Anolis sagrei: one gene and its partners. The protein of the gene in region 4 purifies or fractionates together with the protein of the main gene of each other region. This does not show direct contact. Links are inferred from orthologs where the notes say so. Each region holds a gene or a part of one and is shown on either strand. Other genes may lie near its edges.

Region 1 (7,302 bases), on a different chromosome or scaffold from region 4:
GTGCATAAAGAAAAATTGTGTATTTTAAACTATTAGAAAACAGAGGTGCAACTCCACTGGACACCCATATAGACAATACTGGAGTGTTTTGGAATTCTGGATGAGGGATGCTCAACCTGTAATAACAAACAAGTACTAAAAGTTTCAGTGATATGTTGTAAAACAAATCAGGACCTTTTGCTAGCATCTTCCCACTTTCCAAGCCAACTAGTCAGTGACTGGCACTACCTGCTTGGAGAATACTTGGAACCAGGAATGCATTGCATTTCAGACTTGCCCCCCAGATTTTGGTTTACATGTATTTGCATACACATTCATCATGACTTATCTTGGAGATGGGACCCAAATACAGAACGAATGCTTGATTCAAATGCATAGCCTGAAGGTACATTCATATAATATTTTTTATCATTCTGTGCATGAAAGAAAGTGTGTATATGCGTAACTATCCAAAAGCAAAGGTGCCACTATCTCAGCCCTCTAAATTGTCAGTTTTGGAATATAGCAGACTCTTGGCTAATTGAAACTTTAAAAACTGGAAGTCTCAAGTAACATGCCAAAACTTCAAGGAAATAATACTTTACATAACAATTTAAATACATGTTTTATACTGCCTTGGAGTATGTTGGAGGCTCCTGCCATGGAGGCTTTTAAGCAGAGGATGGATGGCTATCTTTCTGGCATGTTGATTGCCTGAGGCCATTAAATGCTAATCAAAGTAGCCAACTGCAACATTCACACTTGCCTCAAGCAGACAGGAGTTCTTTCTCCCACCCTGGGTATTTCAGAGATATATAAACCTCACTTGCCTAGTTTCCAACAGATCTCACAACCTTTGATTATGCCTGCCATAGATGTGGGTGAAACATTAGGAGAAAATGCTTCTGGAACATGGCCATACAGCTCAGAAAACTCACAGCAACCCAATGTTGATTGTGCTTTACCTGCATGGTGGGGGTTTGACTGGATGACCATGCGGTGTCTTCCAACTCCATGATTCTATGTTAAGTTTGCCTGAATTTGCTTTGAATTACTGTGTTTCAATATTAAATATCAAATCAAGAAGCATTTATGGCAATGTTTCTCAACCTGAGGAGTCATGAGGGGATGTCAGAGGGGTCTCCAATGACCATCAGAAAACACAGTATTTTCTGTGGGTTATAGGGGTTCTATGTGGGAAGTTTGGCCCAATTCTCTCGTTGATGGGGTTCAGAATGCTCTTTGATTATAACTCAACTATTAATCCCAGCAACTACAACTCCCAAATGTCAATGTCTATTTTCTCCGAACTCCACCAATGTACACATTTGGGCATATTGAGTATTTGTGCCAAGTTTGGTCCAGATCCATCACTGTTTTGAGTCCACAGTGCTCTCTGGATGTAGGTGAACTACAACTCCTAAACACAAAGGTCAATGCCCACCAAACCCTTCCAGTATTTTTTGTTGGTCATGGGAGTTATGTGTGCCAAGTTTGGTTCAATTCCCTCTTTGGTGGAGTTCAGAATGCTCTTTGATAAATCCCAGCAAATATCACTCCCAAATAACAACATTAAACCCCACCCCCACAACTCCACTAGTTTTGTAATTTGGGTGTATTGGGTATTTGTGCCAAATATGGTCCAGTGAATGAAAATACATCCTATATATCAGAAATTTGCACGATTCATAACAGTAGCAAAATTATAGTTACGAAGTAGCAAGGAAAATAATGTTATGGTTGGGGGACACCACAAAAGAGGAACTGTATTAAGGGGTCATGGCATTAAGGAGGTTGAGAAACACTGATTTATGGCATGGTCTAAATCTAAGAGGGACTTTCAAGCAACAAGAAACAACATTAATCTGGCACCTACCAGTCCCCATGGATGCTGGTGAACTGAGAGCCTAATGTATATGCTGAACTATACAAAAGCAGAGATGCCACTCTCTCAGCCACCTATGTGAACAATTTGGGAGTATTTTGGGATTCCGGATAAAGGATACTCAACGTGTCATAATGACAAAGAGATCCTTAAAGTTGTCTGCTTTGAGTGGTGCATTTAGAAAACAGGACCCTTGGCTGACGTCTCCCCATGTTTTTAAGTTAATTAGTCCATGGAGTTTGTGTAGTAAGGCTACCTGCTCAGAGAATGCCTAGTTCAATACAGTCCTGTCAAAGGGAGGGAATGAGGAACCAAGGTCAGTTTCCCACATGTGTAAGGGAGAAAAGGGGGGGGGAGTCTCCAAGTATCCCCCCTCCCAAAGTGTCAAAGGGCTTTCCCCTCCTTGCCCAAAAGGGCTGCCACCTTTGTGGAGGGGAAGAGTGCCTTTCTCTCCCGACGTTGGCATATTTCAAAAGTTTCGGGGTAAAAAGGGGGGTGGGGAAAGAGAGAAGATGGAAGAGGGGGCGGGGAGTGCGTCAGACCCATAGAGAGGCATGCAGCTCACCCAGCCACTCACCCACCCACGAGGGCGCCCTGCTGCCAAAGTCATGCAGAATGGCTCCCATGCTAGAAGCAGCGCCCTTCGGGGGGGGGGGGCTCACTGGGCAGCCCCCCCCCCCCCACACACACACACCCCTCCATCTTCCCATTGCCCCTCCCTTTAAGATTGCCTCCCTCCCTCCCTCCCCCTTCCTTTCTCAGGTGCCAGCCAGCCAGGTGCGCCCCAGGCCGGGAGAGGAGGAGGAGGAAGGAGAGGGGTCTCCAAAAGCAGGGGTCTCTCACCTCCTTCTGCTTGGGGTCCTGCGGGTAGACGTCGGGGGGGCCCAAGCGGGACCGCTTGAGGGGTCTCTGCTCATAGCTCAGGAGCCCGAAGGCGGCCATGATCTTGCATGTTAGCCGGCGAAATGAATGAGAGAGAGAGAGAAGAGAGAGTTGGAGAGATGGAGCAGGCTCTGAGCACCAGGGAGCAGCACTTGGCTGGCAGACAGATAGACAGGCAGAGAGAGAGAGAGATAGACAGACAAGCTGGCTTCCCCCTCTGGCTCTTTTTTCCCCCTACAGGGAAGACGGCAGGCACAGAGGGAGGGAGGGAGGGGGGCAAGGGCTGGGATGCTGCTGCACCAATGCAACCCAACCCACCCACCCACGGAGGCTAAGGATGCCACCCCCACAGAAGTGCCCAGCAGCAAGTGAAGAAGAAAGAGAAAGGAGGGGGAGGAAAGGAACACATTGTATACAATGTTCTGGGGAGGGGGGTGTACCTAGGGGAAGGGGACCTACATACAGAGGGAGAGAACATCTTATTCCCTCCTCTCCCTGCAGCTGCAAGCGTTCCGCTCTTTCAACCTAGGCCAAGTTTCACTGCAAGCTTTGTCATTATTAATACAGTAGACTCAGTTAACTAGCACCCAAGGGGATTAATAGATGCCGGATAAAGGCAGTTTCTGGTTGCTTGAGAGTTACTATTAAAAATCAGCCTAACTGATATTGATATTAAAAACGAATAATAATAATAATAATAATGCAATAGACTCGGTTAACTGGCACCCAAGGGGATTAATAGATGCTGGATAAATGTAGTTTCCGGATGCTTGAGAGTTACTATTAAAAATCAGCCTAGCTAATATTATACTATATCATAAACTCTGGCTTGGCTTGATATTGATGTTGAAATGCAGTAATTAAAACAAAATAATAACAACAACACAGTAGAGTAGGTTAACTGGCACCCAGAGGGATCAGTAGGTGCTGGATAAATGCAATTTCTGGTTGCTTGAGAGTTACTATTAAAAAGCAGCCTAACTAATATTATACTATATCATAAACTCTGGCTTGGCTTGATATTGATGTTGAAATTCAATAATTTAAAACATAATAATAATAATAATAATACAGTAGAGTCGGTTAACTGGCACCCAAGGGGATTAATAGATGCCGAATAAATGTAGTTTCTGGTTGCTTGAGAGTTACTATTAAAAAGCAGCCTAACTGATATTTTACTATATCATAAACTCTGGCTTGGCTTGATATTGATATTGAAATGCAGTAATTAAAAACTAATAATAATAATAATAATAATAATAATAATGTAATAGACTAGGTTAACTGGAATCCAGGGGGATTGGTAGATGCAGGATAAATGTAGCTTCTGGTTGCTTGAGAGTTACTATTAAAAAGCAGCCTAACTAATATTATACTATATCATAAACTCTGGGTTGGCTTGACATTGAGGTTGAAATGCAGTAATTAAATCCAAAATAACAAGAACAACAATAACAACAACAACACAGTAGACTAGGTTAACTGGCACCCAGGGGGGATTGGTAGATGCTGGATAAGTGCAGTTTCTGGTTGCTTGAGAGTTATTATTAAAAATCGGCCTAACTAATATACTATATCATAAACTCTGGATTGGCTTGTTATTGATATTGAAATGCAGTAATTAAAAATAAATAATAATAATAAAATAATACTTTATTTATAACCCACCCCATCTCCCCAAAGGGACTCAGGGCAGTTTCCAGCAAAAGTATCAAAGTGGCAAACATTCAGTGCCAAAAACAAACAAACAATAAATCAAAACAGTGGATAAAAATCTCAACATAAAATTATAAAACTATCAAAATAAAACCCAAAAATTAAACTTAAATAAACATAACACAGGCCCGCTGGTAGTGCATCAGGTTAAACCGTTGAGCTGTTGAACTTGCTGACCGAAAGGTTGTGAGCTCCCACTGTTAGGTTCAGTTTCTGCTAACTTAGCAGTTCGAAAAACATGCAAATGTGAGTAGATCAATAGGTACTACTTTTGTGGGAAGGTAAGGGTGCTCCATACAGTCATGCTGGCCACATGACCTTGGAGGTATCTATGGACAATACCAGCTCTTTGACTTAGAAATGGAGATGAGCACCACTCCTCTCCCACCCCAGAGTCGGACACGACTAGACTTAATGTCAGGGGAAACCTTTACCTTTACCTAAACATAACATAACACAGAAACACCTCCTTGATGTAACATTTCCTCCAAGGTCATGTGGCTGGCATGACTGCATGCAGCACTGTTACCTTCCCACTGGAGCGGAGTGGACCTTCCCACTCCCTGGATTCAAACTGCTGACCTGTCAGTCAGCAAGTTCAGCAGCTCTGTGATTTAACCCACTGCACCACTGGAGGGTCTTAATTTTTAGTTAAAGCACAGTATTATTTCTTCATTTTTTGTCAGTTGTTTGAGAGTTCCGGTTAACGGAAAGTCTACTGTATTAATATGATCATGTTTATCTTAATTGTTCTTCATATGGTAGTCATCTCTTAGATTCTGCATCCACAGATTGGACCACTCATAACTTGGAAATATTTTGGAGGGGAAATAATCCAAAAAGCAAACTTTGATTTTGTTGCACTTTTGAGCACTACATTGATGTGTATACATGCCCTGCTGTTATCTCTTACCATTTCATGGATCATCAGGCTGCATCTATACTAAGCATGCGCAAACTTTGGCCCTCCAGGTGTTTTGGACTTCAGCTCCCACAATTCATAACAGCCTACACTGTGGAATTAATGCAATGCTTTGGAGACATGGGAGTTATAGTTTTACAAGGACTTTAAGGTTGTTGGTTTTTTTGCCAGTGTGTTGGTTCCTAAACAAACAAGTTTCTATGATTCTATAACACTTGGCCCTGGCAGATAAAGTACTGTAATCACAAAGTGCATTAATTCTACAGTGTTTGCTATTTTATATAAGGGATGCTCTCTTACTGCACTGCTGTATGTAATGGGATTTGAGCATCCACAGATGTTGGTCTCCATAGGGGTCCTAGAACCATCCTGAGCAGATACTGAGGGCTCACTGTGTTGTTATTGTCATCACTATCAATATAATCTTCTGTCAAAGATGTGATTCCATTGGCAGCAGCAACATCCTCCCCATGAGATGGTCCCTGTGGGATAATGTTGTGAGAATTTTATATCCCAGTTGAGAAGGGAAACAGTACACAATGTTCTACAAACACTCTCGAATACACAGGATCATAGCCACACTGTCTGAATCAGAAAGAACTAGCTCACCCAGTTTTATACCCAGAGTTGCTAACATGGCCTAGAGATAGATTTTCGTTTCATCTATAAATTGCTCCCAGAGAGTGTTTAAAAGACCTGCCTGCTCTTAAGTGCAATGGTATTGTTAAATTATAGAAGAACTAAGCCACATAACTGACTGAGCTTAATGAAGTGCCTATACTGGGGAATCAGTGTGATATGTGCTTGTTTCAAACCATTCATATATTTTCACCACCTGAAAATCCATGTCAGTCCAAAGAAACAACTGTGAGAAACAGATTAGGATGAGTGCGCATCTCTGTAGGTGGATAATAGGTTCACAGAATCATAGAATCATAGAGGTGGAAGAGTCCTCATGGGCCATCCAGTCCAACCCCCTGCCAAGAAGCAGGGAAATTACATTCAAAGCACCCCCGACAGATGGCCATCCAGCCACTCTTTAAAAGCCTCCAAAGAAGGAGCCTCCACCACGCTCCGGGGCAGAGAGTTCCACTGCCGAACAGCTCTCACAGTCAGGAAGTTCTTCCTAATGTTCAGGTGGAATCTCCTTTCTTGTAATTTGAAGCCATTGTTCCGCATCCTAGGGCTGCAGAAAACAAGCTTGTTCCCTCCTCCCATTGACTTCTATTCACATGGGTATCATGTCTCCTCTCAGCCTTCTCTTCTTCAGGCTAAACATGGCCAGCTCTTTAAACCGCTTCTCATAGGGCTTGTTCTCCAGACCCTTGATCATCGTTCGGGGCTCATTCCCCACAAAGTATAAAAGGTAGTGTGGCCATTAATGTTTAACCCAGACACTGATAATGGATGATGATGATCTCTGTGTGTGTACAGTAAACTCTCAATTAACCAGAATCCATGTGGATTGGTTGGTGCTAAGTTTCTGGTTGCTTGAGAGTTACTATTAAAATAAGCCTAACTACAGTAATACTATATCACCATACTTTATTTTTCCATGTCAGGAGTGACTTGAGAAACTGCAAGTCGCTTCTGGTGTGAGAGAATTGGCCATCTGCAAGGACATTGCCCAGGGGACGCCCGGATGTTTGATGTTATTACTATTCTTGTGGGTGGCTTTTCTCATGTCCCCACATGGAGAACTAGAGGGAGCTCAACCCGCTCTCCCCAGATTCGAACCATTGACCTGTCAGCAGTACTGATGAATCAACCTGGACACAGCATATTATTTGAGAACACAGAAATGCTGGGCCACTCTAACAACTACCATGTCAAACTACACAACCCATTGAAATCCACAAACATGTGGACAATTTCAACAGAAAGGAATAAACCATGAAAATGAATAAAATCTGACTAC
Region 2 (7,734 bases), on a different chromosome or scaffold from region 4:
CAATAAAGTGGCAATAGGAAAGATGACCAGGAAAATTAGATTTGATGTGGACGACTAGGACTGTTTTAAATGGTGTACTTTAAAATTTTGATAAATGTTTTTAATGTTTATGTATGTATATAAGAATTTGTGTCCCGGCAGTGAATGTTTGCCATATATATGCTGTGCCCCACCCTGAGTCCCCTTGGGGGTGAGAAGGGCAGAATATAAATGTTTTAAATAAATAAATAAAATTCAGTAAATAATAAAACTGATAAAAACATAGATCCTCTGCATCTCATTACCAAAATAATTCTCCAATTGCATTGTCCAGTCGTTCCGAGATCAGGGTTTGTCTGCTACACTGCATTTGAGAAAGCCTGCTCAAAAAAACAGGTTTTAACTTTTTTGCGAAATATTAAGAGGGTGGGGGCAGATCTAATGTCCCTAGGGAGGGCGTTCCACAGCCGAGGGACCACCGCTGAAAAGGCCCTGTCTCTCGTCCCCGCCAAACGAATCTGTGAACTAAGCAGCTCACCAGTAACTTTCTTGTCTCTACTTGAAGTTCCACACTTTACACCGGCCCGCATTTTACACTGGCATACGTTCTACCTCAATGTGCTTTATGACAGTATTTCCTGCCCAGTTGACTGTATTTTTGCACTTTCCTGCACTCCTGTAAAAATGTATTGCACTCATTGAATCTGTACCTCAGTTATGTTTCTTGCAGCCGTATTGTTTTTGATATTGCTTTCAATTGTGTCGCTATTTGTTTTATTTGATGTTTTGAATGGTTAAATTGTTTTACATGTGTGTTTCAATTGTAATCTTGGGCGTGTCCCTTTAAGCTGCCCCGAGTCCCCTAGGGGAGATGGTTGGCAGAGTATAAAAATAAAGTTATTATTATATTACTAGCTGTCCCCTGCCACGCGTTGCTGTTGCCCAGTCTGGTGATCTGGAAAATAAAGTAATGGTTTCTAATATATGTAATGTCTTTCTGCTTGTGGGTAAACAGTATTTCTTGCTGTTTCTTTGTCAGTGTTGAAGTGGAGAGTATCTGATTTGCCCATTCTGGAACATGCAACATATTATTGTCCTTCTTTAGGGGTCCCTTTCACATCTAGGATATTATATCTCTCTGTGTGTGAATCATATATATCTATATCTATGGCTGAATGTCTCTTTGTCAGGAGGGCTTTGATTAGATTTTCTTGCCCTGGTGAAGAGAGTTAGTCTGGATGGCCTTAAGTATTTTCTGTTGGTCATGGGGGTTCTGTGTGGGAAATTTGCCCCAATTCTGTCGTTTGTGGGGTTCAGAATGCTCTTAATTGTAGGTGAACTATTTATTTAGAAGTTTTATATTTATTTATTTATTTATTTAGAAGTTTTACATACCGGTCTTCTCACCTCCAAGGAGGGACTCAGTCTGGTTCACAACATGTTTTCATATACAGTAATATACAAAACAGCATAGTGCATCACCATTACACATTAAAATATAAGTACAATAAAAACTATAAATCCCGGCAACGACAGCTCCCAAATGTCAAGGTCTATTTCCCCCAAACTCCACCAGTGTTCACATTTGGGCATATGGAGTATTTGTGGCAAGTTTGATCTAGATCCTTCATTGTTTGAGTCCACAGTGCTCTCTGGATGTAGGTGAACTAAAAACCCCAAACTCACGGTCTATGCCCACCAACCCCTTCCAGAATTTTCTGCTGGTTGTGGGAGTCCTGTGTGTCATCTTTGGTTCAATTCCATCATTGGTGGGGTTCAGAATGCTCTTTGATTGTAGGTGAACTGTAAATCCCAAGAACTACAAATCCCAAATGACAAAACCCATGCTTTTTGAGTGATGGCCACTCCTTGGGGTAGTAGATGTATTGTGTCCAAATTTGGTGCCAATCCGTGCAGTGGTTTTTGAGTTCTGTTAACCCCACAAACGAACATTATATTTTTATTTATACAGATATGTATAAGAAGGCAGGACTGAGAGCAGGGCCTCCCCAGAGGATCTTAGATTCCTGGATGGTTCATAAGGAGAGCTATGTTCAGACGGATAAGCTAGGCCCAACTCCATTTGCTTTGTATTTAATTAAGGCCCCTTCCACATTTTTTGCTTTGAACCGGAATATATGGGAGTGTGGACTCAGGACCCATTCCTAACAGCCTCAGGCCCTTTCCTTTTCCCCCTCAGCCGCATAAGCGGCTGAGGGGGAAAAGGAAGGGGCCTGAGGCTGTTAGGAATGGTGGGAGTTGAAGTCCAAAACACCTGGAAAGTCCAATTTGGCTGAGGAGAAAAGGAAAGGTCCTGAGTCTGTTAGGAATGGTGGGAGTTGGAGTCCAAAACACCTGGAGGTCCCAAATTGGCTGAGGGGGGAAAGGAAGAGGCCTGAGGCTGTTAGGAATGATGGGAGTTGGAGTCCAAGGCACCTGGAGGGCCCAAATTGGCCCATGCCTGTCTCTAGATGGAAACAAGGCGGCCATGGGATGGCCATCCAGGCCTCCACCCCGGGAAGAAGGCTGCTGGCCCGACTCACTCACTCACCCGTCCTTCCGCTTGGCCTTGTAGACGTGCCCGTAGGTGCCCCTGCCCACCTTGCAGCCCTCGTACTCGAAGAGGTCCTCCACTCGCTCGCGCTCCCCGGTCAGCTTCACCTTGAAGTCATAGTCCATCTTCATTCAGAGGCCTGGACTCCTGGCCTTCGCCTCAGGAACCGGGGAGGAGGAGGAGGAGGAGGAAGAGGAGGAGGCCCCGCGACGCGGACCATCCAGGTGAGAGGAAGGGAGGGAGGGAGGAAAGGGCGGCGGCGTTGCTAGGAAGGAAAAAAGGCCCAAGGGTGCGGAGGCTGAGGGGGCCGCGGCCTCTTTCCTCCTCCTCTTTAGTCCTCCTCCTCCTCTTCCTTCTCCTCCTCCTCCTTCTTGTTCCCTCAGCCGGCTGAAGAGAGACCCCCAAGCGCCACAAGAGCCGGTATCTCGCTCCTCGGAATACGGCACTGCCGCAAAAGGAGAGCGCTGTCGTAAAGTCGCCCCTCCCCTCTCCTCACTCCTTCGGCACCACGTGGAAGCCGACCGGCCTTTTAGGCCACGCCCCTCCAGTGAAGCACTTTCCCCAGCATGCACCACGCGGAGAGAAAGATGCAAAGTGGAGTTTGCTTGGTCCCTTCCACACAGAATACCAAGGCAGAAGATCTCACAATATCTGCTTTGAACTGGGATATCAGAGTCCACACTGCCATATATTCCAGTTCAAAGCAGAAAATGTGGGATTTTATTCAACTGTGTGGAAGGGGGCTTAGTCCACACAGCCCTATATCACAGAATATCAAGGCAAAAAAATCTCCTAATGGTCTGCAGCCCCTCCCACAGCAAAAAGTTAGGTAAAATTGCATACCTGTAAGGGCAACGAAACCAAAATATTTTCCAAAAGTCTACATAGGCACCACCAAATGCAGCATTGCCCAGACACGCATCAAGGAACATGAAAGGCACTGCAGACTACTTCAACCAGAGAAGTCAGCCATAGCAGAGCACCTGATGAACCAACCTGGACACAGCATATTATTTGAGAACACAGAAATGCTGGACCACACCAACAACCAAAATGTCAGGCTACACAGAGAAGCCATTGAAATCCACAAGCAAGTGGACAATTTCAACAGAAAGGAGGAAACCATAAAGATGAACAAAATCTGGCTAAGAGTATTAAAAAACTCAAAAATTACAACAGCAAAACAACAGAGAGGAAACAATCAAGCACATCAATTCACTCTCAACAAGAGATTCCCCCCAGGCGCTTCCAGGCCATTGAATGCTAATCAAGGTGATCAGCTGAAACATTACCCTGGTCATTCCACAGATATATAAACCCATTTTCCCTACTTCCAACAGACCTCACTACCTCTGAGGATGCTTGCCATAGATGCAGGCGAAACGTCAGGAGAAAAATTGCCTCCAGAACATGGCCATATAGCCCGGAAAAACCTACAACAACCCAGTATTTCCCAAAAGGCAGAAGCCCCCTTTCCAGTAGGGAGGGCAAGGATGGACACCACAAAAGTTGAATCCTTTAAACTGCAAAAAAAACCTATTTATTATTGCGTGGCCATAGCAATAACGACAAACAAGCATACAGGGATGCAATCAAAGGGTTTGTCGCAACCCCAATGGGGCTGTAGAGCATTTATAGTAAATATAATATACATTTTCATTGGTTCCCAAAGACAAATCATTTCATTGGTCTAAGCTAGCTATGCAGTTGTTCATTATTTGTTTATGATTTTGATTGACATTATAGCACACGTGGGATCCTAACAATGGCACAACTATATCATAAATATGGTCCATTGTTCTCTGACCATGACTGTACCTTATCTGTTAGCCTGTTGCAAACATGGCTTCAGAGTGACTGGGAAACTTGGGGGTTCTAACTAGCCAACAGCTAGCTGGATTTGTCCAGATATACTGTTATCCTTGAATACTAACTTCTTTGGAGCATTGATTTCTCAAACAATCAGCATTTTCTGTGAATATAGGCCTACTGCAGAAATAGGCCAATATGGCAGTAAATCATGACATATGGGCATTGGGGAAATCTCTGAAAAATCCCTTTTTAAAACCACGTCTCCTCCATACCAACACACATACACACATTTACAGAAAACCCACACACAGAGATAGATATCTACATAAAAACTCCAACCATCACCCAAGTCATCTCAAGAACAGAGAAGCATCCTGAGCTCTGAAGATCACCTGGGAAGGAACCCCACTGGAGCATTGCAGCACACCCAAATACCTGGGAGTCACTCTGGACCGTGCTCTTACCTACAAGAAGCATTGCCTGAACATCAAGCAAAAAGTGGATGCTAGAAACAATATCATACCAAAGCTGACTGGCACAACCTGGGGGTCACAACCAGATACAGTGAAGACATCTGCCCTTGCGCTGTGCTACTCTGCTGCTGAGTATGCATGCCCAGTGTGGAACACATCTCACCACACTAAAACAGTGGATGTGGCTCTTAATGAGACATGCCGCATTATCACGGGGTGTCTGCGCCCTACACCACTGGAGAAATTACACTGTCTAGCCGGTATCGCATCACCTGACATCCGCCGGGAAGTGGCAGCCAATAGTGAAAGGACCAAGGCAGAGACATCTCCAGCTCATCCCCTGTTTGGATATCAGCCAGCACGTCAACGATTTAAATCCAGACATAGTTTTCTAAGATCTACAGAGACACTCGCTGGAACACCTCAGCAAGCGAGAGTCCAAAAGTGGCAGGCTCAAACCCAGAACCTCAACCAATGGCTGATACCAAATGAGAGACTCCCCCCTGGTCACACAGAGGACTGGGCGACTTGGAAGGTGCTGAACAGACTGCGCTCTGGCACCACAAGATGCAGAGCCAACCTTCAGAAATGGGGCTACAAAGTGGAATCCTCGACATGCAAGTGTGGAGAGGAGCAAACAACTGACCACCTGCTGCAATGCACCCTGAGCCCAGCCACATGCACAATGGAGGACCTTCTTGCAGCAACACCAGAAGCGCTCCAAGTGGCCAGATACTGATCAAAGGACATTTAATCAACTACCAAACTCACACATTTTGTATTTTCTCTGTTTGTTTGCTTTGTTCTGTTAGAAATGTAATATAATTGACTGGCTGCCCTGACACGAGAAATAAATACACAAGTCAAAAAAGAAGCACCAATTAAAGCCTTGGCAGACAGTGCAAAAAGAATCTGCGAACCCCACCTCCTTCAAGATGAACTGAACCACCTCAACTGTGCTCTCCAGGCCAATGGATACTCCACCTCAGACATCAGAAGAGCTGCAAGACCGAGAACAAGCCACGAGAGTAAAGATGAAGATCCACCCAGAGGAAAAGTGTTCTTGTCATACATCAAGGGAACCACTGACCGCATAGGGTTGGCTTTGAGCCCATCTTTAAATGTCTTCCAACATTCCTTTTTCTGTTCTTGAGTTCGGAATACAGCAACTGCTTTGGGTGGTCAGGCATCCAGACAACATGGCCAGTCCAGCGGAGTTGATGGCGGAGGGCCATCACTTCAATGCTTGTGATCTTTGCTTCTTCCTGCACGCTGACATTTGTCCGCTTGCCTTCCCAAGAGATTTGCAGGATTTTCCAGAGGTAGCACTGATGGTATCGTTCCAGGAGTTGCATGTGACATCTGTAGTCAGTCCATGTTTTGCAGGCATATAGCAGGGTTGGGAGGACAATAGCTTTATAAACAAGTACCTTGGTATCCCTATGGATGTCCCGGTCCTCGAACACACTCTGCTTCATGCAGAAAAATGCTGCACTCTCAGAGCTCAGGCGGTGTTGAATTTCAGTGTCAGTGTTGACTTTTGTGGAGTGGTGGCTGCCAAGGTAGCGGAAATGATCAACATTTTCTAAGTTACGCCATTGGAGAGGTATTGACTGGTGACTGCTGGAAGAGCACTTTGGTTTTCTCGATGTTCAATGACAAGCCGAGCTTCTCTTGAGATACTATAGGGCCTGTCTGAAAGGACCCATAGCTGTTAATTAGGTTAAAAGTACATTTTTTTCTTTATCTTGTAAATTCTTTTAATGTAGTGGAAAATCAAAAATTCAAAAAAGAAAAAAGATTGGAAGATGTCTTTGCAATAATAGATGCTGATTAGAAAATTGCAAACCATTTTTTATGTCTTGATGTTTTAATGTAGTGAAAGTTAAAAGATTGCAACATGTTTCTTTATTTTCTGGATTCTTTCAATGGAGTGAAAACTTATTTTTAAAAGGAAAAAAATACAAAAGGTTGGAAGTTGTTGCCGTAGAATTGATGTATCAACAAGAGATGATGACAAGGAGGTTGTAAGTCATTTTTTAAAAAGAAAGAAAATCTGGATTGTTTTTAATGTGGTGAAAGGTTATAATTATTTGTTACAAGGAAAACGTTTAGAGGTTGCAAGTAATATTTTCCTTTGTTTTCTAGAGTATTTCACTGTAGTGAAAACTTGTAATTATATTTTACAGGAAAATATTAAAAAGGAAGTTGTGGGTAAGGGTGTCTGGGTAATTTTGGTGCATGTTGGGAACTGTAGTTTGGAGCAGTGAAAGTTGCAGCCATTTAATTATATTAAATATATGCAATTATAGCAGCTGATAACGTTGAAAGTCATATTTCTTCTCCTAGATTTTTATTTAATGTAGTGAAAAGTTGTCATTATTTTTTAAAAGGAAGCTGGAGTTAAGGGTCTCTGGATTGTTTTGGTGCCTGATGGGACCTAGAGTTTGAAGCCTGGCTTGATGACATTCCAGCGGTAGAAGTCAGAGACTGGAGCATGATAGGAACTGAGATCTTTGGGGTTTGTGGCTCCATCCCCATGGAAACACATTCCGGAAGGGTAACAGTGTGGAATGGAACGGAAGTGCAAACTGAGGACAGAGATTGCCTTGAAAGGCCATCTGTTAAATGGAATTGTGGGAGTTGTGGCCCAAAAATTGTGAGAGAAGACGTCGTTTTCCACTTTGGTTCAGATCTTTCAGGTTGAGCATCCCTTATCCAAAATGAAATAGTCCACATTTCAGATTTATTTTTTTTATTTTGGAATACTTAAATATACATAATGCTTATCTCAGAGGTGCAGCCCATGCCCAAATGCGAAATTCATTTATGTTTCATATATAACAGATTCGCATAGCCTGAGAGTAATTTTATATATAATATTTTTGTGCATAAAACACTTGATGTAAAGACAAT
Region 3 (7,558 bases), on a different chromosome or scaffold from region 4:
TTTTCTTTGTAACTTGGGAACTATCTGTGTTGGTATTTGTGTTTTAATTTTCGTCCTATGTATTTTAATGTATGTATTTAAATGCTGTTGTGTTTTACCTGTGTGCTTTAATTACAGGTAACAAATAATAATAATAGAATTCATGAGAAACAACTGGAAAAGTTTACACAGAACAAGGATTTAAAGATCAAACTGCAAAGACTCTGGCACAAATCAGTCAAGGTGGTCCCAGTGTTGATCAGCACATTGAGTGCAGTGCCTAAAGACCTTGACCTGCACTTAAAAACAATCGGGAGCTGACAAAATTGCCATCTGTCAGCTGCAAAAGGCCACCCAACTAGGATCTGCACACATAATTCACTGATACATCACACAGTCGTAGACACTTGGGAAGTGTACAACATGTGATTGAATACAAAAGCCAGCATAGTGATTTTGTATGTTGTGTACAGATCTTGTTGTGTATCAAATAATACTAATAATAATTATAGGAGAGGGCATAATGATTTAATGCCGTTCTACTTGAAAACCCAAGTAGTGGCCTTGGAGATAACCCACACACAAAACTGTTCAATTATCTGGGCAGAGCTGTCAATAATAATAATAATAATAATACAAGCAAGTTCAATGGGAAAAGATAATCTCTAGCCACTTTTACTTACTTTCCAGTGCAGGTCCCCTCCACTTCGGTGAACAGCTTTTGCTTCACAGTGTTGAGGAGGTTAGGCCCAAAGTAACGTGGATGCAGCAAAATTTCATGCTCCAAAGATATCTGGAGGAAGAGAATACAGGGGTTAGCGCCCACTAAATAAATAACAAGAACTTTAAACAGTTCAGAGAAAACTCCAACTACTTCAGGGCATAAGGAAGAGCCAGTCACATTCTCCTGGAGACTCACAAACATCATCCCCTGATGTTTCCCTATAGCAATTGGCATTCAGATGCTTACACAATACCTGTGAATATGTAGGCAGCATATTTAATGGGCAGTCTTCCTTTTGACTCCATGAAACCAGGTGAAAACCTTTCTTTTCTTTAATGATAAATATAATAATATTTATTTGTTATAGAAGGCTTTCATGGCCGGAATCCTAGCTTGATGTGTGTTTTTCGGGCTGTATGGCCATGTTCCAGAAGCATTCTCTTCTGATGTTTTGCCTGGATCTATAGCAGGCATCCTCAGAGGTTGTGAGCTCCTCTGGATGTCTGCCACAGATGCAGGTGAAATGTCAGGAGAGAATGCTTCTGGAACATGGCCATATACCCCGGAAAACATGCAACAACCCAATATTTATTTATTATTTATTTATGATGGGGTTGTAGTGGTGGTGGGATTGGGGAAAATACTGGTATTTTGAATGTTAATTTCAAAGATGGCACGTTTCTATGTATTATACAATAATTATTTTTTTAAAATGCCCACCAAAAATTATTATTTATTTATGACATTTATATCCCACCCTTCTCACTGCAAAAGGGATTAAGAGCGACTTACAAAGTATATGTACATACAATATATTATATTATTAGCATAGCACAATATTAGTATTATATATTACTATTTTGTACTGTATGACTATACTGTAATATTGTTAGTAATATTAAATGTAATATATAATACATTATTATTATATTATTATATTGTATTACAATATTACAATCAATATTATATGAGCATACAATTTATTACATTATAATAGTCGTATCAAGATAATCATAGAATCATAGAATCAAAGAGTTGGAAGAGACCTCTTGGGCCATCCAGTCCAACCCTCTGCCAAGAAGCAGGAATATTGCATTCAAATCACCCCTGACAAATGGCCATCCAGCCTCTGCTTAAAAGCTTCCAAAGAAGGAGCCTCCACCACACTCCGGGGCAGAGAGTTCCACTGCTGAACAGCTCTCGCAGTCAGGAAGTTCTTCCTCATGTTCAGATGGAATTTCCTCTCTTGTAGTTTGAAGCCATTGTTCCGCGTCCTAGTCTCCAAGGAAGCAGAAAACAAGCTTTCTCCCTCCTCCCTGTGGCTTCTTCTCATGTATGTATACATAGCTTTCATATCTCCTCTCAGCCTTCTCTTCTTCAGGCTAAACATGCCCAGCTCCTTTAGCCGCTCCTCATAGGGCTTGTTCGCCAGACCTTTTATCATTTTAGTCACTCTCCTCTGGACACATTCCAGCTTGTCAATATCTCTCTTGAATTGTGGTGCCCAGAATTGGACACAATATTCCAGGTGTGGTCTAACCAAAGCAGAATAGAGCATGGGGAGCATGACTTCCTGGGTCAAGTAGGGTCATGCTGATCATGCAGCTTGACCCTACTTTATCTGCCTGCGCTCAATGCAGGGAAAAGTAAAGGCCTTGGGAAACTACAACTTCCAGGATTCCATATCATTGAGCCATTGCAGCAAAAGTGGGGTCAAACTGGGTTAATTCTGCAATGTAGATGCACCCAATTTCACTCCTAATAAGCATGCAGCCAGCTTGCCATATTCTTGTCGAATTCAAAACAGCAGAGAGGAAACAACCAGGCACATCTTAACACCTCTCAACAGAACATTTTCCCAGGCTCAGCCAGGCCGTCAAATGCTAATAAAGGTGGTCAGCTGAAACATTCACACCTAGCTTCAGCAGAGAAGAGCTCTTTGCCCCAGCCATTCCACAGATATATAAACGCATTGTCCTAATTCTAAGAGACCTCACTACCTCTGAGGATGCTTGCCATACATGCAGGCGAAACGTCAGGAGAGAATGCCTCTAGAACATGGCCCTATAGCCCGAAAAAACCTACAAGAACCTAGTGATTCCAGCCATGAAAGCCTTCGACAATACATTAGTCGTTTAGATGCTTTAAATACAGCTCCGGCCATTAACTTACATGATAAAACATGCTCCCAGCTCCAACAGCCACCTTTTCCCTTCCTGTAAACCAGCTTCCTCCTGATTGGCTGCGCCGGTCGGAGCGCCCTCCTCCTTAAAGGAACAGCACCTTCTCCCGTGATCCCTTCGTATTTGAACCGTTGCAAACTCACAGTGAGTGACGTTTCACCTCGCTAGGAGGCTTCTCCAATCGGAATGTAGGACACAGATGGTGATATTTCTTGACCAATGGCGAGACAGAACGCAGCAAGTTCCTTCCCCTTCAAGAGCGACAGATGGAGGAGAAAACATTCCCGCGAAGGGGGCGGGGGGGAGGAAGAGAGGCTGTCGCGGAGAGTGACAGAGAGTGCCAGCCAATCAGGCGAAAGGGGCGTGTCCCTCGGGGCCTCTGCTTTGTGGTGGGTAAGTGGGGGGAATCGAGGGGCTCCCTCTCCGCCCGGCGCGCCCCGTCGGAAGAGAGGGAAGCGCTGCTGGCACCGTGTCGGGGCTGGGAAGGGGGCCTCTTCCTTCTGGGGCGAGGGAGGTCTCGGGCAGGGCGGGGGCGGGGGGAGCCGGCTGGGGGTGCTCGTGGGGGCTGAGAGATGGGGGGAAATGGGGGCCCACGACGCCACAAAAGCATCGGAAGTGACTGGACGGACGAACCACAGGCCGCTGCTGAGAGAAATTGTGGGAGTTGGAGGCCGAGACCCCTGGAGGGCCAAAGTGTGCCCATGCCTGGGTCAGGCCCTTCAAACGGCCTGTTTCTGTGTCCGAACCCACAGGATCTCTTCGCTCCCCTGGAGAGGCCCTACTCGCGCTCCCACCGCCCTCGCAGGCGCCCTTGGGGGGGGACGAGGGAGAGGGCCTTCCCGGTGGTGGCCCCTCCACTCTGGCACTCACTCCCCAGGGACATTAGGCATGCCCCAACCCTGGCAGTCTTTAGGAGGAGCCTGAAAACGTGGTTGTTCCGGCGTGCCTTCCCAGAATAAGGAGAACTCTCAGCAATATGTCCTCACAATGCACTTTAATTTATTTATTTATCGTGTCATCAGCAACCATTGTATTACAATTCTAACAGAGCAAAACAAACACAGAGATTAAAAAGGGAAAAGGGAAAAAAACACACAGATTTTGCAAATTTGGTATTTGGCTAAATGTCCTTTGACCAGTATCTGGCCATTTGGAGTGCCTCTGGTGTTGCTGCAAGAAGGTCCTCCATTGTGCATGTGGCAGGGCTCAGGTTGCATTGCAGCAGGTGGTCAGTGGTTTGCTCTTCTCCGCACTCGCATGCCAAGGATTCCACCCTGTAGCCCCATTTCTGAAGGTTGGCTCTGCATCTCTTGGTGCCAGTGCGCAGTCTGTTCAGTGCCTTCCAAGTCGCCCAGTCCTCTGTGTGCCCAGAAGGGAGTCTCTCATCTGGTATCAGCCATGAATTGAGGTGCTGGGTTTGGGCCTGCCACTTTTGGACTCTCGCTTGCTGGGGTGTTCCAGCGAGTGTCTCTGTAGATCTAAGAAAACTATGTCTTGATTTGAGTCGTTGACGTGCTGGCTGATATCCAAACAGGGGATGAGCTGGAGATGTCTCTGCCTTGGTCCTTTCACTATTGGCTGCTACTTCCCGGCGGATGTCAGGTGGTGCAATACCGGCTAAGCAGTGTAATTTCTTAAATACTGACTTAGGATGGATTGCGTTCCCTCGTTTCTCTCTGAAAAATCCGACCCCAGTTACATTTTACCTGTTCACATCAGCATATTCTCAATTTTAATCTATTACATTTGGCCCGACCATTTTTAATATGTCATTATTGATTGTTGTTTTTGTTATGTGATTTATATGATTTGTATTTTATTGATTGTTGATTAATGTTGTGCTATTGATGTTTGTTTGATGTACTTCGGGCTTGGCCTCATGTAAGCCGCACCTTGGGGAGATGGTAGCGGGGTACAAATAAAGTTTATTATTTATTATTATTATTATTATTATTATTATTATTTAAAGTTACCAAGTGTCTTCTCTTGCTGTCCCAAAGGAGGCTGAGCTATGCCACTGAACGCCCAACGACCGTGAGAGAGGCCTCGGCATGGAGTTCCCCAACCACAGCCAGAACGTGCTGCGGAGCTTGTGGGAGCAGCAGCATGATGGCTTCCTGTGCGACTGCACCGTCCTGGTGGGCAGTACCCAGTTCCTGGCCCACCGAGCTGTGTTGGCCTCCTGCAGCACTTTCTTCCACATGTTCTACAAGGAGCGCCTGGACAAGCGGGACGTGGTGTCCATCAACAACGAGATCGTCACTGCCCCGGCATTCGAACTCTTGCTGGAATTCATGTACAAAGGCAGCCTGTCTTTCAACGACATGCCAGTCGAGGATGTCTTGGCAGCGGCCAGCTACCTGCACATGAATGACATTGTTAAGGTGTGCAAAAAGAAGCTTCAGGCCCGAGCGTTGACTGAAGCGGACAGCACCAAGCGGGAAGAGGAGGCCCCGGGCAATTCAGAACTTCTGCCCAGTACCTCCAAGTTTCAGCCTCCGATGCCTGAGCCTCAGCCCTTCCCATTGCCATCCCTGTGTCAGAAAGACAGTGACAAAAAAGAGGAGTGGAAAGGAGGAGAGAAGGTTGCTTTGGAGGAAACTGCGGCCTCTACTTTGGATGTGGCAGATACAACGCAGCCAGGCATGGAAATCACGCTGCCAACAAAGCCACCACAAGCACCCGTGATTGACATTTCTTTCTCTAGTCCCAGCAGTTCCACTGAAACAATCCCACACAATAGCTTTTCTCTAGCAAATGAAGGTTCTTCTAACACAGACCACGCTCCAGAGGGGTATTTGGAGCAAAGGACAGACACATTTTGTCAGAAGGAAACAAACCGGCCGTCTGTCAAGGTCAAAGTGGAAGCCATTGTGATTTCCGACGAGGAGTCTGATGCGACAGAGCAACTGGAGGGACAGGGCGCAGAGTTCAGATTGGAAAGCATCTTCCAAAGGTCTGCCTCAGAGACAGCGCTCCCTGGAAGATGTGGGCGCCATTTGGACACGTTTGAAGACCCTGCTGGGATAGACGAAGTGACGTCGGAAAGCGGCTTCCTGTCCCAAGAGCACCTCCCGTATCACATGATCCCCATGCCTGGCGGGCAGAGCTTCTCGAACATGGTGACGCCGCCCCTCCATGAACAGATGTACCTGCCGGATTTCGAGTCCCACTCCAGCTTCGGCATCTTTACCGACGATGTGCCCACCTGCAAGACGTGCGGGAAGACCTTCTCGTGCTCCTACACACTCCGGCGCCACGCCACCGTCCACACACGGGAACGGCCCTACGAATGCCGCTACTGCATGCGGAGCTACACGCAGTCCGGCGACCTTTACCGGCACATTCGCAAAGCCCACAATGAGGACCTGGCAGCCAAGCGTTGCAAACAGGACATGGAGAACCCTTCATAGGTCTCAGGTCCCAGCAGAGAACAAGGTTATTTCTGATTATTTCCTGTAGATACCATGCGATTTAGGACTTCTTTGAAGGTGGTGATTGGTCTGCATCCAACTTTTTCTCCTCTCCTCCAGTCACTCTCACAACCAGAGCTTTCCAAATGATTCATCATTGTGTTGCTGGAGGCTTTCATGGCCAGAATCTCTGGGTTGTGGTGAGTTTTCTGAGCTGTAGGGTAATGTTGCAGAAGCATTCTTTCCTGACATTTCACCTACATCTACAGCAGGCATTTTCAGAGGTTGTGAGGTCTGTTGGAAACTAGGTAATTGGAGTTTATACAGGGTGAGGCAGCATAACTTCCTTTTTTCAAAACTTAATAAAACCCATTGTATGAATCAGATTTTTTTTATTTTTTTTATAGTGTAGGCACATACCTAAAGTGTTGTTTTACGTAGTTTTGAAGATCAAATTAGGTAGGTGACATCCCCCATTCTCCAAACACTGAGTAAACCGATTTCTAGTGTTGCTGACTCTTGCCACCATAGCAGGCGTTCTGTTGGCAGTTTCTTCCTGGATGTTGGTCTTCAAATCTTGGAGGGTCCTTGGACGGTTCACATAAACACGGGATTTCAAAAAACCCCACAGAAAAAAATCACAATGGGCCAAATCTGGAGAGCGGGCCGGCCACTCCAAATCCGCTCGAAAAGTAGGCCTCAACGACAAAAGCACGCTCCTCACTGTTCCAATGCATGATAGCAACTGAACTGTGTCAGGACAAAACTTTATACTCCCGCCTCTCGAACGAGACCACTAGCGCTCCACTACGTCTTCAACCGACTGAATGGCACGCATTTTAAAAAAGGAAGTTATGCTGCCGCACCCTGTATATCTGTGGAATGCTCAGGGTGGGAGAAAGAACTCTTGTCTGTTGGAGGCAGGTGTGAATGTTGCCATTAGCCACCCTGTTTAGCATTGAAAAGCCTTTCGGCTTCAAGGTCTGGCTGCTTCCTGCCTGGGGGAATCCTTTGTTGGAAGATGTTAGCTGGCCCTGATTGATTCATGTCTGGAATTCCTCTGTTTTCTGAGTGTTGTTCTTTATTTACTGTCCTGATTTTAGAGTTTTTTTTAATACTAGTAGCCAGTTTTTGTTCATTTTCATGGTTTCCTCCTTTTTGTTGAAATTTTCCACATGCTTGTGAATTTCAATGGCTGTATAATCTGACATGATGGTTGTGAGAGTGGTCCAGCATTTCTGTGTTCTCAAATAATATGT
Region 4 (7,020 bases):
GGACTCAGACAACTCAGTTCAAAACAGATATTCTGGGACATAGGGCTGTGGGAGCTGGAAGAGTATAGAGAAGTTGATGCACATTTCTCATGCACGGCTTTGACTCTTTGAGAGTTTAAAGCATCACTGCATCCTGAAGCTCTCTTTTGAACATTCATATGACAGCCACATCTTCAGGAATTTAGTTTGTGTTTCACCCAGTATCTCCCTTTTCTGAGGGAAACACACTTGTGTTGCACAGGCAAAAGAAGGAGCTCACCTCACACCACTCCACATTCCCCACGTATAATTTTCTTTTCCTGTATTCTGTGAATATTCGTTATGCCCAGGGAAAGGAAAATAAGGGGGAGGAGGAGAACACACAGAAAGAGGAAGAGCCAGATCCACTGGGACTGATTTCTCCTTCCATCTCTCCCATGTTTCTGATCTGCCCAGTATATTCTCCCTTTACCTGGACAATAGACTTGCACCATAGAGGAAGGGTGGGATCTCAGCATTGGTGCCCTATTTCCCTTCCCTATTAAAGATGTTGACTTTTTTCCACTTTCGCTGTTTCCCTAAGTCCCATATAAGTAGAGGGATGACTCTACTTATTTTAAAACAAACTTCCCAAAAGTCAGTAGAACTTCAAAAGAAAAAAGCATGCAATAGGTACAGAATGAAGCACCCAACTCCTGCTCCCCATTCCACAGGGTAAAGTAGTACAGGTTGAGCATCTGCTAACTGAAATGCTTGGGGACAGAAGTGTTTTGAGAAAACCTGTATTCCCACAATAATATATACTAGTTTTAAATGCTTGCTTATGTTTATTTTATGGATTGCTTATTATGTTTTACATTTGTGTCACTGACTGTTGCGTATTTACTATTGTATTTTATTTTACTGCATGTTAACATGTTGGGTCCCTTCGTGGGAGAAAAGTGGGATATACATAAAGATGTATTATTATTATTATTATTTGCAAGTATGTATATTATAAGACATCCTAGGAATGGGTCTAAACATGAAATTCACTTATGTTTCATATATACCTCTTATTTCTAGTTTGAATGTATTTTATACACAATATTTCAAATAGTGTTTTCTATGATGGTTGTGTGTACTAAAAGGCTATCACTATCTCTGCCAGCCATGTGGACAATTTCAAAGTATTTTGTATTCTGAAAGTCTATGTTGATTTGTCTTCTAAGACCCCTCCTGCACAGCTGTATAAAATCCAGATTATCTGCTTCAAATTTTTGGTTGTTGTTTTTGCTGCAACATAGGGCCCTTCCACACAGCCATATAACCCAGAATATCAAGGAAGAATAACCCACAATATTCCTTTGAACTGGGCTATCTGAGTCCACACTTCCATATATCCCAGTTCAAAGCAAATATTGTTAGATTTTATTCAGCTGTGTGGAAGGGACTTTAGGCACCCTTCTACACAGCTGTAAAAAATCAAGATTATGTACTTTGAGCTGGATTATATTAGTGTAGCCTGAGGCTTGTTCCACGCAGCTGAATAAAATCCCACATTATCTGTTTTGGATATATGGCAGTGTGGACTCAGATAACCCATTTCAAAGCAGATATTATGGGATTTTTCTACCTTGATATTCAGAGTTATATGGCTGTGTGGAAGGGCCCTAAATGTTGTCGTGTCGGTCAAAAATCTTCACTTTTGAAGGATTTAAATGCATACATGGAATATAACAAAATACAAGTAAACATACTGATCAAATACCACAAAGCTTTAAGGTCAGGAACAAGTACCTTCCAGGGCCCACCTACACTGTAAAATGAATGCACCTCACTACCTCTCAGGATGCTTGCCATAGATGCAGGCGAAACGTCAGCAGAAAATGCCTCTAGAACATGGCCATATAACCCGAAAAAACCTACAACAACCCAAAATGAATGCAGTTTGACAACTTCGAGGAATGATGTTCACTCCTCGAAGGCACACCAGAACTGCCAGGGCTCAATGCTATGGAATCCTGAGACTTGTAGTTTGGTGAGGCACCCATAGCAAACGACCTTGTTAAACTACAAGTCCCATGATTCCACAGCATTGGAATCACGCCCTTTATACACCTCCTGTCACATCAGCACTTTTAATCTTTGTACCCACCTTCTGGCCCGGCCCAGTTTTATTGTGTTTTAGTGTATTGTGCCTGTGGTTTACTTTGCTTTTCTGTTTTTAATTGATTTGCTTAGATTGTATTGTTATGTTGTGTGTAGAGGCCTTGGCCTGTGTAAGCCGCATCGAATCCTTCGGGAGATGCTAGCGGGGTACAAATAAAGTTTAATAATAATAATGGAGCCAGGGCTGTTCACGTGCAGACGTGTCCTCGATTCGGGTAAACAGCGAGGGAGACTCGACCTCACGTTCTCAACAATGAACTTCTCTAACTTCCGGTCTTACAGCGCCAAGTCCAGCCAGAAAATAGGAGCTCGGCTCCGCCCCCAGGTCCCCTGCTCCCTCATTCGCTCTGCCATCTGCCCATCACTTCTCGCCTAACCGTTGGTGAGATTAAATCCCCACAGAAGAGGGAGAAGCCCACCTGGGGCAACTGGGCCACCGATTGGACGGCTCCCTCCTGACGCCATCACGAAGGCCAACCCGCATTGGCTGAGAGCACAAGGCCCGCCTCCCTTTCTGGTTGGCTTAAAGGGCCTCCCGGGCCCGCCTCCCTCCCGCCCTCCCTCGGCCCCTACCTGGCAACTCCCGCATCAGGTAGAAGGGCCCACTGGCGGCCGCGGCCTTGCGCGCCGCCTCTTCTCCGATGGGAGCCACGGCCGGCACGGGAGAGGGCCCCGTCACGGGCCCGCCCGCTTTCCCCGGGCCGAAGCCCAGCGCAGCAGCCGCAACTGGCGGAGGAGGTTCGCTCGCCCCGAAGAGAGCGGAAAAATTCTCCATCATCCCGGCGTGCTTCGCGCAGTCTCCACCTATTGGCTCCGCGTCTTGGCAATCCCATGCGCTTGCCCCGATTTCATTGGCGGTCTCTGAACCCGCCTCCTAGCTATGATTGGCTAGCTCCCCTGGAAACCCGACTTTGCTCTGATTGGGTGGTTCCAACACTTCCCCTTGATGCAATTTTACGGGGCGCCGAAACGTCAATAGAATGCGCCGGAGAGAGGCGCTCTTGTTTATAGTCTCCGTAGCCGTTGGTGTGTGCGGAGTTGGCCAATCGAAGCGCTAGGTGTCACCTTTAGAACCGCCCTTTTTGGATTGACGCGTCCGTCGACCAATGAGTGTCAAAGAACGGTCTAAGCGGCGACCTGTTGGCGCGCGGTGCGGCGATTCGGTCAGTGGGAGGTGAAGATGGCGGTGCTGGCGCCCCTCCTGGCGCTCTTCTACTCCGTGCCGGGGATCTGCCGCTGGCTCGCCCAGCCCTACTACCCGCTCTCGCTCCTGCTCTCGGCGGCCTTCCTGCTGGTGCGGAAAGTGCCGCCGCTGTGCCATGGGCTGCCCTCCCAGCGCGAGGACGGGAACCCCTGCGACTTCGACTGGGTGAGGCCCTCCCCCAGGCCCCTTCAGGCGGACGGGCCTTCTCCTTCGCGCCTCGCCCTTCAGGCGGAGACTGCACGGCGACAAGCTTCGCTTCCCCACGCGGAATGGATCCTCCCGCCCCCCAATCATCATCATAATAATCATAATAATAATAAACAACAAAGCAAAACGAATACAACATACAATACATAAAATAATACATAAAATAAAGTACAATAAAATACATGGAAAGAAAGAAGGAGAATAATATAAAATAAACACAGGGTACAACAAAATAAGCAAAGACATTAAGCCGATGGACAGGGCCAAGTACAACGGGTAGGACTGTAAAACCCTGGGTGAGGTGGATAAGTAGGGTGATGCATCTGGTGGGGTTCGGATGGGACAACCAATGGGAATTAATTTCAACTAAAGGGTAAGATACTGTGCGTCAAAGTACAGAGTTGGTTAAGGTATGGGAATTTGATGTTCATTCCTCGAAGGCACACCGGAACAACCAAGGCTTTAGGCTCTTCCTGAAGGCTGCCAGGGTGGGCATTTGTCTAATCTCTCTGGGTAGAGAGTTCCAAAGTCGAGGGGCCACCACAGAGAAGACCCTCTCCCTCGTCCCCTTTTGTTCTTATTCCTATTGGATAATCACTGGTCACATAATCAAATGGAGGATTATGACCTGTTAGGGTCATTACTTATTGGATTCTGACCCATTGGGAAAACTGTAATATGTATGTCTTTTAAGAAAAAAAAATGGTATTCACATATATTTATACTTGGCAATCGATTTTTCAGTTGTTAGACCAGGCATGGGCTAACTTTCTAACTTGGGGATGGGTGGGCCAGAAGGGAGGGGGTTCTCCCCAAGTCCCTTTTCCGCCCCTTCCTCTTCTCTTTCAGAGAAGTGAAGGAATGACGGGAAACGTTTAGCTCTCAAAAGTGTTGGCCTTATCAGGATGAAAGGGTGGATGGAACAGAAAAAGTGTATCCATTAGATCCCATATTAACTACTCCTGATTAAAATCCAAGATATAATTAGACAAGACATTAGACTTCAATTATAGTTGTCAAGATTATCAAATTGACATACACGAGCATCTTTGTATATTATGTCCCCTCAATGTCCTCTCATATATAAAAACAGGATTTTGTGGCATAGTTTTTAAAAACCTTACTAACTGACCTAAATCATGACCTGAATCTGAATTCCTATATTACATTACTATATTTTTAAGTTAAGCCAAATTGATCCTGTTTAATTGCTCTGTTTCCATGCTATTTCCTATGCTACTATATGTTTCTATCCACCTATTATATCACCCTATCCATTAACCAGTTTGCATAGTGACTTCCTCCCCCCCCCTCCAAATTTATTATTATTTATGCTGTTTTATGCAATTTTAACTTGTTATTGTACTGTTTTTAATTGTATATTGCCTTGGGCTTGGCCCCATGTAAGCTGCCCCGAGTCCCTTCGGGGAGATGGAGGCTGGGTAGAAAAATAAAGTTCTTTTTCTTCCTCCAATTGTGTTATTAGATCAGAAAATATGAATATTTGTTAACCAGCTAGAAAGCAAAACTTAAATGACATAATTTTTGTCTGCCATTAAATGTTTTGCCTATTTTATGGTAAAACAACTTCTATAGACCCGTATTCATACTGCCTTTCAATATATTGTCTGTCTTTTAGCGGGAGGTAGAGATTCTGATGTTTCTCAGTGCGATTGTGATGATGAAGAACCGCAGATCCAGTGAGTAATACTTGTGTGTGTTTGTGTGCACTTTCAAGTTGTATATCAACTTAAAACACCGCATGAATTTGGGAAGGTTTTTCTGACAAAGCAAGACTTGGAGAAAGCTCGGCTAGTTCCCTCCTCTGAAATATAGCCCGAAGAACCTGGCATTCCTTGTTTGTTGATTAACTTCCAAAATCAGAAAGGATCCTATGGCTTCAATATATTTAACTCCTAGTAATATTTGCATTTGTTATTTATTGTTCCCTGGAGTAAGATACTCCGTTGCAACAGAGAGTTTACAGTGAATTTTTTTCCAAAGAGTTTTTACCTGTATTAAAGGCTTTTTCTTTCTTCTTAAAAAAGTTGGCTATGTCCATTCAGTGCACACAATCGCTAATCAAGGATGAGATATGTGTGTAATTTTATGAGATGAGATAATCTCCATACAGTAAATCAACACAGAAACTAAAGTTTCTAAGTTGCTAGTTATTCTGCATTAGATATATTATTAGTGAGGTCCCCTGTACATTCTTTTCAGAGGAGTGTCTTTGAAACATGCTTGCTGTTTCTTTTGTTTCTGACATCTTATCTGTGATAGCTAGATAAGGTAGCCAGAAGGCAAAGTTTTCATGAACCAATGCTTAGTGCATTATGGAACGGGTCAAATGAAAGACGTCCTGAAGCTGATAGAGAATAGTAAAGACAGAAACTGCGTGGAAAATTAAATGAAATAGAAGTAGCTGAAAAGAGTGAAATAACCTCTTTGTATGAAAATAACCTGCCAGTAAGTCCACTCAAATGATCCTAATTGTTTAATAATAATAATAATAATAATAATAATAATAAGTACAGTGCCTAGCAACTTTGGCCTGCACTTAAACACTATTGGCACTGACAAAATTACCATCAGCCGTCTGAAAAAGGCTACTGGGATTTGCATGCATTTATTCGCCAATACATCACACAGTCCTAGACACTTAGGAAGTGTCCGATGTGGATCCAATACAACAGCCAGCAGAGTGATCTTGTTTGCTGTGGACTCACTTTGTTGTGTTTCAAATAATAATAAAACTTTATTTATATTCTGCCCTATTTCCCCTGGGGGAGATAGGGTTTTTATATTTCCCTGAAGGAAATATAAAAACTTATCAAAAAGGTATTTAACACAAGAGGGTAAATTGCTAAGAGTACAGCAATTGCATGACATCCTTAAAGTATTTATATAATTTGAGATTCAAAATGAAAATAATATACGAGTCACCTTGCAGATACCTTTCACGAAATACAATAAGATGGCTCTCAACTCAGATTATTGAGGGTTTTCGCTTGCTATAGGATGGGATGAAGACACCACATTGGTTACACATGCCTTCTCAAGCTACTTTTTGCCAGCCGTAAACCATCACTGCAGGTGGGGAAGTGGTTGTTCAGAATTAGAATACTGCTTCTGAAAGCACCAAACAAGTCCTGTGTTTTTGTTGTTTTATAAATCTGCAATTAAAGTAATGGTCACTTTCAATTGACTTTCTTTTAAAAGCAATTCATTGGGAGTAGCCTATAGCAGGCCCTAGGGGAAAACCTGTTCTTTGGACATGGCAGATATGTCCATCCCTACTGTAGTCTATACAGGACTAACAGATGATGCAGATACCTGAGCTAACCATCTGTTTTGTGTGTTTGTTTTTCAAGTTACTGTGGACCAGCATGTGGGAAATATCTTTATGTTCAGCAAAGTGGCCAACGTCATCCTTTTTTTCCGCCTTGACATCCGGATGGGGTTGCTTTACCTCACAC

Evidence for each region.
Region 1: the proteins of MED19 (region 4) and MED12L purify together in Homo sapiens (affinity purification with mass spectrometry; 3 studies listed by BioGRID and IntAct, counting the BioPlex papers as one, with this or other methods). This does not show direct contact. The link is inferred for Anolis sagrei from reciprocal best matches to the Homo sapiens genes MED19 and MED12L.
Region 2: the proteins of MED19 (region 4) and CDK8 purify together in Homo sapiens (affinity purification with mass spectrometry; 8 studies listed by BioGRID and IntAct, counting the BioPlex papers as one, with this or other methods). This does not show direct contact. The link is inferred for Anolis sagrei from reciprocal best matches to the Homo sapiens genes MED19 and CDK8.
Region 3: the proteins of MED19 (region 4) and POLR2G purify together in Homo sapiens (affinity purification with mass spectrometry; 3 studies listed by BioGRID and IntAct, with this or other methods). This does not show direct contact. The link is inferred for Anolis sagrei from reciprocal best matches to the Homo sapiens genes MED19 and POLR2G.

What each region holds. Positions count from the first base shown.
Region 1 is NC_090023.1:241,543,341-241,550,642, reverse strand, and holds the start of MED12L (mediator of RNA polymerase II transcription subunit 12-like protein), read right to left. Parts: upstream 3,001-7,302; 5' UTR 2,807-3,000; coding exon 2,708-2,806; intron 1-2,707. UniProt on the Homo sapiens protein: May be a component of the Mediator complex, a coactivator involved in the regulated transcription of nearly all RNA polymerase II-dependent genes.
Region 2 is NC_090023.1:30,600,384-30,608,117, reverse strand, and holds the start of CDK8 (cyclin-dependent kinase 8), read right to left. Parts: upstream 3,001-7,734; 5' UTR 2,665-3,000; coding exon 2,531-2,664; intron 1-2,530.
Region 3 is NC_090032.1:12,908,789-12,916,346, forward strand, and holds the start of POLR2G (DNA-directed RNA polymerase II subunit RPB7), read right to left. Parts: upstream 3,007-7,558; 5' UTR 2,888-3,006; coding exon 2,876-2,887; intron 773-2,875; coding exon 663-772; intron 1-662. Other genes in the region: ZBTB3 (zinc finger and BTB domain-containing protein 3), read left to right, coding at 4,938-6,299. UniProt on the Homo sapiens protein: Core component of RNA polymerase II (Pol II), a DNA-dependent RNA polymerase which synthesizes mRNA precursors and many functional non-coding RNAs using the four ribonucleoside triphosphates as substrates.
Region 4 is NC_090021.1:234,311,608-234,318,627, forward strand, and holds the start of MED19 (mediator of RNA polymerase II transcription subunit 19), read right to left. Parts: upstream 3,006-7,020; 5' UTR 2,909-3,005; coding exon 2,704-2,908; intron 1-2,703. Other genes in the region: TMX2 (thioredoxin-related transmembrane protein 2), read left to right, coding at 3,311-3,499, 5,181-5,241, 6,916-7,020. UniProt on the Homo sapiens protein: Component of the Mediator complex, a coactivator involved in the regulated transcription of nearly all RNA polymerase II-dependent genes.